Rattus norvegicus: one gene and its partner. The protein of the gene in region 1 interacts with the protein of each later gene in a pairwise test. Links are inferred from orthologs where the notes say so. Each region holds a gene or a part of one and is shown on either strand. Other genes may lie near its edges.

What was found.
Region 2: the proteins of Ptpn6 (region 1) and Lair1 interact in binary tests that used the Homo sapiens proteins (3 or more experiments, as listed by UniProt). The link is inferred for Rattus norvegicus from reciprocal best matches to the Homo sapiens genes PTPN6 and LAIR1.

What each region holds. Positions count from the first base shown.
Region 1 is NC_086022.1:159,233,967-159,238,356, forward strand, and holds the start of Ptpn6 (tyrosine-protein phosphatase non-receptor type 6), read right to left. Parts: upstream 3,104-4,390; 5' UTR 2,938-3,103; coding exon 2,924-2,937; intron 1-2,923. Other genes in the region: Grcc10 (protein C10), read right to left, coding at 3,675-3,826. UniProt on the Homo sapiens protein: Tyrosine phosphatase enzyme that plays important roles in controlling immune signaling pathways and fundamental physiological processes such as hematopoiesis.
Region 2 is NC_086019.1:79,228,379-79,232,882, reverse strand, and holds the start of Lair1 (leukocyte-associated immunoglobulin-like receptor 1 precursor), read right to left. Parts: upstream 2,973-4,504; 5' UTR 2,942-2,972; coding exon 2,908-2,941; intron 1,142-2,907; coding exon 1,106-1,141; intron 1-1,105. UniProt on the Homo sapiens protein: Functions as an inhibitory receptor that plays a constitutive negative regulatory role on cytolytic function of natural killer (NK) cells, B-cells and T-cells.

The DNA of each region.
Region 1 (4,390 bases):
CCAATCCAGAGACGTATCTAACAAAAGACTCATGACTCCACTTAGACTGACATTACAAGTGTGTATGCCTCCTGTGTGCCCTGCATGCCACTCACTCTGCCAATGACATATCTTGTGTAGAAGCACAACTCACACGCACCCCACCATCTGTGTCCACCCATACCCATCTCTTGCAGGGACAGATCCCCAACACCACAGGCACACAGGAAGTTCCACACTGCTTAGTAACATACTGACTACACCAGAACTAAGACTCTCACTCCAGAATTAAACCCACTTGGTGGGAAGGCGCTCACGAGGCACTTACTACTGACCCTTGATGTCCCATCCTGTCCTCTGGCAGGAAAATAATGACAATCTTCCAAGAAGCAAGGCGCAGGGCCCTGGAGTTGGCCGAGCATTAGAACAATATATGTCAGTGGTAGAGCGCTTGCCAAGAAAGGGCAAGGCCCTGGGTTCGGTCCTCAGCTCCAGAAAAAAAGAACAATATATGTAATGACCACAAAGGTGGCCTTTGACTACCTATGAGGTTGGGACTTTGTTTTAAGCAGACTCGAGGAGGCTGCCAGACCTAAATACAAATGCCTGGTATCTAGAAGAGGACGAGATTCCTTTGGGAAGCAAGGGATAAGGGAATACGTCAAGATCAGTGGCCCTAGGGGCCTGCCGAGGACAAAATACAACCATTACACGGTTATTAGACTTCTCTGATTTCCACCTGATATGTGAACTTCACAAGATTTCCTAAACTCGACCCTAAAAGGCTAATAAAGCAACCAGGTGTGGTGGCTCATGCCTCTAACCCCAGTATTCGGGAGGCCGAAGCCCGGGACAGAAGGTCAAACGAGACGCCTGCCCTCAGGAGGACCTCCTCACCTACATAACTGCTAAGTGGCAAGGTCTCCTGTCATCAGCACATTTTACCGTGGATTCTCTCTTCTGATTTTGCATCTGCAGTTTCAGTCAGCTATAGACAGACAGTATGCTTCCACTGGACAGACGCAGACCCTTTTCCCTCCACAGTTTCCTCAATAATACAATATAACGATTTGCATAGCATTTACATTGTATCAGGTACTCAGAGATGATAAAGTCTGCAGTAGTTCAGCTGGATGCTACAGGCAAATACATTTGCATAGTTTGGTACCTTCCGGTCCCTCTGGAATCAATCTCCCACAGACACTGGCAGATGACTGTTTCCTTTCTCTGTGACCTCAGCTGTCTTGAAACTCATTCTGTAGATCAGGCTAGCCTCAAACTTAGAGATCTGCCTGCCTCTGCCTCCTAAGTTCTGGGATTACAGATGTGTGCCACCACTGCCCGGTCAACTCCGGGTTTTATGCCCGCTAGGCAATAACTCTAACCTTTGTTTTTATTATTTATTTAGACAGGGCCTTGCTGTATGTGGCCAGGCTGGCCTCAAACTCAAGATCCTCCTACCTCAGCTTCTCTTGGGTTGTCCAATACCACTATCCTAGCTGAAACAACTGTATCATTGTTAATTTTCATGGCAATACTGTTTATTTGTTACTCTCCCCATTTTAGAAACAAAAGTGAAATCTTAAGACTTGTTAAGTAACTTGCCCACAGTCACAAGGTTCCAGTGAGTGGGAAGGTGAAAGAAACCAAAGCTGTCTGGGGCCGGTGGTCTGTCGCCTGCCACAGCGCTGGACCAGCAGGCTTTAAGGGGATGCCTGGCACTGCAAAGCATGCTGGGAGATGGTCAAACCCCCCCCACCCCCACAGGCAGATGGACCAGAACACAGGGTTGGCATGGAAAACATGCTCTTGGGTTGCTCAGTGTGAGCAGATCAAGACAGCTGAACTAAAGTACGCAAGGGGCTGGACCGCCACCCAAAGCAGAGGTCTTGCAAGTCCAGGTTGAAGAACCAAGAAAGGTTCTATACTGGGAGATGCCTTGTCAAGCCAGATGGGGAGTCTCGGTACAACCCCTCAGGATGGCAGAGACTAGGTATACACCGGAGGAAGAGTGTACACAGAAAGATTCACCTGAGTATGGAAAGCAAAACTCCACAGGGCCCCTGTAAAACAGCCCACAAAGTCACCAGCACCCTCAGAGTGCGTTTTCACTCTCCAAACCCCACTGAAGTCCAAGGTGCCCATGGCTTCCTTCTGGGGACAACACACTATCCTTTCTCCATTTGTCCCCAAACTGAGGCCTCGCACTTATTATTTCTGCCTGGGATGGTTCGGGACAGCTGGTAACAATATGGCTGCCTCTGTTGAGTCGCCAGATCTCAGCTCAAACACCACCTCATCTGGAAGGCCTCCCTGTCAGCCAGTGATGTCTCCATCACTGCTAGCACCTTAAGCCGCTTCTTCTCCTGCGTGTCAGTTAATGCTCTGGCCATCTGAAATAGTCCTAGTTATTGCCTATGTATTCATTCTGTCGTCTCTGCTTGGAATGCCAGCTCTCTAAACGGAGATCATGTCTGCCTCATACAAGCTCATGTTAACAACATCTTACTCAGTACCTGCCCACTGTGTTGGTTCACCATTCATCTATCAAAGTTTGCTTCCTTTGGGGAAAAGGGAGAGAACCAAGGTGTATGTAGGTGTGGGGGGCGGGGGAGGGCGGTGCCTAGGAATGGAAGAGCTTTCTCAAATGTGCCTTCAGACTGTCATGTCTGAGGTGATGTGAACTACCCAAGAGGGGAACAGATAGATAGGAGGCAGAAGCAGAGGACCACAGGCCAGTGGTTAAAAATAAGAAAAGATACCCATTTGGGGCTGGCTCAGCTTGTGGTAAGGAGAGAGAGTTCACAGGGACAGGATCCAGCCTCAGGGCAGGGGTATTGGTGGCGGTAGACTATTATGGAGGTTTACTTGTTGAGGGTGTGAACAATGCCCATCACCTAGACTAACAGGAGTTTGTGGAACACAGGTGGTGGAGGGGACTTACCCGCGGGACAGCATCTCCCTGGAGGAGTGGGGGAAGTCACAGGCAAAGGGCGACAGGGGCGGGGCCAATCGAGTGGCACAGCTGTTCGGGGATCCAGACCTTCAGGAAGAATATTTCGGTTTCGGCCACTTCCTCCTCATCCAGCCTGTCAAACCAATGGCACTTTGAGGCCAAGCCCCTGGATTACAGGTCTCTGAGGGAAGGACGGGTGGGGCGGGGCTGGCCAGAGACCGCCCACCACAGCCAAATTCTCCAGAGGACTGCCGGAGTCCAGCAGGCTTCTGGCCTGCCCGGGCCTACTTCTCTTGGAAGGGGAGGAGCAACCTGCTGTTCCACCTGGAGCTCAAACTGAAAGAGCAGGAGGAGGGCGGGCAGAAGCAAAGACCAGGAAGTAACCCTAGCCAAGGGACCGCCCTCAGAAGAGTACCTCTCAGACAGTGGAAAGCAGGGGAGAGTCCAAAGAAAAGCCTTGAAGCCCACTGCTCATAGGAGATACCACCTTTGTGAGCAAACCTCCCGGGGGGCCAAGAGGACCATTTAGCCTCCCACACCCTAGGGCTCATGAGAACAGGGTTGGTCCAGCAAAGAGCCCAGGAAGGGCCTAAAGGAGGGGAAAGGCCAGAGGCGGCAACGAGTGGGGGTAATCAGGACTAGGAATGACTGACACAAAGGTTTAGCCACAAGCACATTTATTATCCTCTGGAACACAAGGGCCTCCTTCATAGCAGCGGCACACAGAAAAGAATCAATCTCAGGAGGCAGCCACACTGCTTCCGGAAGCAGGCCCGTGGGGTGGTAGTGTCATGGGTGGCAGGAACAAGGCCTTTAGCTTGCCTGACAGGCTGGCAATCTCAGGATCCTGGGCTTCGTAAGACTTGACCAGGCGGGCAAACTTAAGGACACCTGCAAGAAGCAGCGAGTCATCTCACAATGCTGGAGACCAGTGTGTGGAGGCAGGCAAGGGGGCTCCTGAGAGTAGGAGATCTCCTTGTAGTCAGGCAAGCATCTGCAAAGGGGGACACACGCCGATGTCCTGCAGGGCTTCAACGAACCCCTCCCGGGTTTTCACTAGGCACAACTGGATGCAGTATGGAAAAGCCCTAAAACAGTTGGCACTGCCTTTAATACCAGCACTCCGGAGGCAGAGGTAGATGGAGAATCTCTGAGTTCGAGACCTGCGTGGTCTACAGAACGAGTTCCAAGATAGCCAGGGCTTTGGGCTTAAGAGCCAGAACTTTTTTGTTGTTGTTTGTTTTTCAAGACAGGGTTTCTCTGTGTAGCCTGACTGTACCGGAACGCCTCACCCTACAGACCGAGGCTGGCTTCGAACTCAGAGATCTGCCTGCTTCTGCCTCCTAAATGTCGGGATGAAAGGCGCATGACAGCACTGCCTGGTTTCAAGAGTCAGAACATTTTAGGCCGGGCTTAAGTATAGTCCCAGAGCTGTGAGTGGCAATGTTTGCTGTG
Region 2 (4,504 bases), on another chromosome or scaffold:
ATACATTTAATCTAAACAATCAGGAGGCAGAAGCACTGCCAGCCTGGTCTGCATAGCAAGTTCCAGGCTATTCAGGAACACATAGTGAGAATCTGTCTCAAAACAAACACATTAATTAAACTATCTAATGGACTTAAAAATTAACTGGAGGGGGGCTGCATCAAGGACATGGTGACATAATACATATAGGAACATGGACAAGAGAGATCAAGTGTGAATTTTTATGTTCTATCTGTAGGGACTGTCAAAGTCTTCCTAAAGGGATCCTAAGAGAGGTCTGGATTGTGGGGAGAAATCTCTCAGGAGCAGGCTTGGTCACACTGAATTAAACTGTCTTTGCAGACAGCCTGTTCTAAATATATCTCACCCCACATTCTTTACAGCACAACTCCAAGTATAGAAGTAACTTGGGTAGATAAACAGATAAAGAAAATGCGGTGCACAAACATGTTAGAACACTGAACATTCTTTAGAAGGGAAATGCTGCTGTTAATGACCACCAGAACAAATCTGGAGGGATTAAGTACAATAAGCCAATCAAAAAATGACAAATATCATAGGATCTCCCTTATGTACGGAATATAAGGTGTTCATCTCAGAAATGGATATAATGATAGTAGACCAGTTATCTGAGGACTAAAGAGAGCGTGGATGAAAAAAGAGAAGATGCTGGTCAAAGGTACAAAATTCCATTTAGACAGGAGAAATGCATTTCTAAAGATCTACCAAGCAGACAGTGACAGGTTGTTCCTTTCAAAATTCCAATAATGGTAGATATGTAACATTCTCAACCTTAAAAACAATGAGTGTCAGAAGTGATTTGCATTCAATTTAGCCCAATTTATTCATAGCATAAAATAAAATACATATCAAAACAGCAGGCTGCATTCCAATTGGTGTATATCATTGTTATTTGTCAGTTAAAAACATTATAAACAAGAAAACAAAGGAAGACAGGTAAAAAAAGAGAAAGATGAAGCTTACAGAGTTAGAAGTGTTTATGATTACAGGGAATATTTGAGGGTCTCTTTCCATACATTCCAGATGCATGTGATCCCCTCCAAAGCTACCCATTGGTACAAAAGCAACAGAATACATAACTCACCCTCCTGTGTGTTACTTTTCCATCCCAGGCACAGTACTGAAAGAGAAATTCCAGTAAGAAAAACATCTCCCACAGTTTGCTTGGAAATGAGAATCTAGGAAAGACTAAATGTAGGTAGGGACATCCAGCTTCCTGTGATTATGCAGCCATTGACCCTCCACTCCTCCACATTAACATCAGAGTATAATCTTGTATCTTGTTTTTTAAGAACTCTAAATTATCCCCAAAGCCACAGATGTAGACATTCAAGTATTATTTGAGCTACAACGTGAGTTCAGGGTCAATCTGAGCATATTAGAGAGACTGTGTCTCAAAACCAAAAGTAAAATGAAGGCTGGGTTTGGGGGATAGAGGTTCACAAGCCCTCACCTCTATCTGAGAAGCTGTTGACAGATGATAGCTTCTGGGGAAGGGAGGGTCAGTTTTCTCGGAGGATATGGCCTGTGGTAGGTTGACCATGCTCCAGAAGATGGTCATACACCCTTGTGTAGATGGATAGCACAAATTATATTCATGGGATTTTTTTAAAAAATGACACAATATTGGGATAGGGAGGGAGTGGACATGGAGTTACAGGCAATAATGGAGGTGAATGTGATCAAAACACATTGCATGCACCTATGAAATTCTCAAAAATATTTAAACATATCTAATAAAAGAATTATTTATCACTATGCCCATAGATTGATGCACCCCAGCCCTCATTTCAGCAGCTCCTATGGAGATTAACAAAGACCTATAACTGGCCAAGGTGTAGATAAAAACAGGCTGCAAAATGTTCGGCCTTAAAGGGAACATACAAACTAAATATAATCTCCTCCTCATAAGACTTGGGGAGCATTTAGGAAGAGTAGATAGAAATAATGCTAGAGCCAGATGCAGTAGATGGCTTCATGGAATACACAAACGTCAGCTGCATACATTAATTCAGAGCAGTTGTGAGAGCATTCACAAGACCTATGCAAGGTCAAACAAGACCAAATACCAGAGTTGGAAGGAAGTTAGGCATACACTCCCTACTTTAGCCTTAAAGCTATTGGGAATTGCTGACTGCTGAAATAGGGAGAGTCAGTTCTCTTTGTTTTATTTAAGAGTGTAGCCCATAAAGCTAATCTTAATGGCTCATAAATCTAATCCCAGGAATGGGAGGGAGAGGCAGGTGGAACTATGTGTTTGAAGCCAGCCTGGCCTATATAATGAGTTCCAGGACAAGCAGGGCTACATAGTGAGACCAAGCCTCACAAATATAAAATAAAGTATAGTCCCTATTGAGTCAGCCTCGCTCTAGTGCTAGACCACATACTTAAGAGTATTTGATCAGAAAAAAAAGAGTATTAGATGAGCACAAATTGGTCTTAAAGTGCTTAAAAATGGAACAAAGTTAAGAGTAGGGAGGAGAGGTAGATCCTGGAAGAGTTAAGGATGAATAATGTAAGAAACTCTCAAAGAATTAAAAAAATTTAATTCTGAGAAGGATAATCAATACTACATAACATTTGTGATTGTGAAAAATAAAGAGGGTTGGGGTGTAGGGGATACAATTAGGTGATAGCATGCTTACCTAGCACACATGAGGCCCTGAGTTCAACCTCCAACACCAAGAAAAACAAATGTTCCCCATTCATCTTCCCTTCTAAACAGGCTCTTCCTAACTACTTTTAAAGATGAACTGGACTTCATGCCCCGTCCCTGTTACTAACAGTAAGTCTGCAGAGATATCTTCCAAGTAGGAGATTGGGGGTGGAGAGACTGAGTGAGGAACAGACTCCCTTTCCCATCCCTCAGTTTTTCCCAGGACTCACCAAGCACCAGCACGATGACAGAATGAAGTGGCATGACTCAGGCTCCAGCAACCTTACCAGGTCTGGCTGGAGCAGAAGCCCTGCAGCAGGCACAAGAAACAGGATGTGTGCACTGGATCTCTTCACAGGGTTTCAATATGAGGTTCCTCACATGAAGAGGAAGAGGTTTCTCTTCTGGACATTTTACTCTTTCCGTTAGTCACTGGCTTCACAAGAAGGTGTCAGGTTCTAAAACATGTTTCAGGCCCCTAAGTTTAGATGCAGCTGAGCTCATTCCACAACTTGTTTGCCTCTCTGTAAATATTCAAGAATAAGATGGTACATATCAGGTTCCCATCATAGAAAGTAAAAGCAACCAATTCATGCAAGACATTTCAATACCCAAAGCTGCTCATGTTATGATTTTTGTAAAACATCTTAACAGATATTTCACACATTAAATGTGTCCTGCTAAAGATAATGTTTTTACTGTTAAATAATATTGGGCTCTGTGTGTGTGTGTGTGTGTGTGTGTGTGTGTGTGTGTGTGTGTGTGTGTGTATCTGTCTGTCTGAGGACAACTTGCCAAAGTCATTTGTCTCCTTCACAATGTAAGGTCCTAGGAATCAACTTCAGGTAGTCAGACTCAGAAGTAAGCATCTGTACCCACTGAACCATCTCACTGACAAAGGTAATATTTTTCAAAACTAATAAATATTGTCAGAAGTGTGCACAAATTGATCTTTCTCTTCCCGTTATAAGAACATGGGCTCTTGAATATTCTGAGGAATGTTGCCTCTGAGTTAATGAGTCAGGATCATTTTAGGTAAGCAGACACCCTCCCTCCGTGCCGCTAGAGGGGAAAAAAGTAGAAATCACAGGAAATATTGCTCTTTCTCTTTGGAAATAGCATTATGATTTCAGACACACACACACACACACACACACACACACACACACACACACACACATGCATACAAAGAAATTAAAAATAGAACCCTGGTAAAGGGGAAAACAAGTATGAAAGAAAGATGTCAGCACTCATGTAATCATTGCAACTCTATTCCCAAGATCTGTTGCTAGGAAAAATCATTCTGAAAGTAGTTGAAGAAAGTATGGTGTACATAGACAGTGTAATGAAGATGGTGATGATGCCATGTGAAAATCCATGGCTGAACATTCAAGAAATGGATATAGGTGAAATAAACAAGACCAAGAAGAATGGGTGATGAGTTGTTCTTCTCATTGAAAGTATGTAAATTAGCCATATTCAAGCTGGGCATGCTGTTCCATTCCTGTAATCCCTACACTTGGGAGGGTGAAGTAGGAGGATTGCCATGAGTACAAGGCCAGTCTGCACTACATAATGAGTTCTGAGCCAACCAGCGCTATATAGCAAGGTTTTTTGTCTCAAAAATTAAATAGTCCAAGTCAAATTCATAAAAGCAAAATTTGGAATGTTATCTACCAGAAGGGAAAACATTGGGAAGTTATTTATCAAGAGGCAAAAACTTTTGGTCAATTAATATAAGTAATTCTAAGACAACATAGCACCTATAGTCAATATTAGTAAATTATGCAGTTAAAATGTTAATAGAACAAATATTATGGGTTTTTT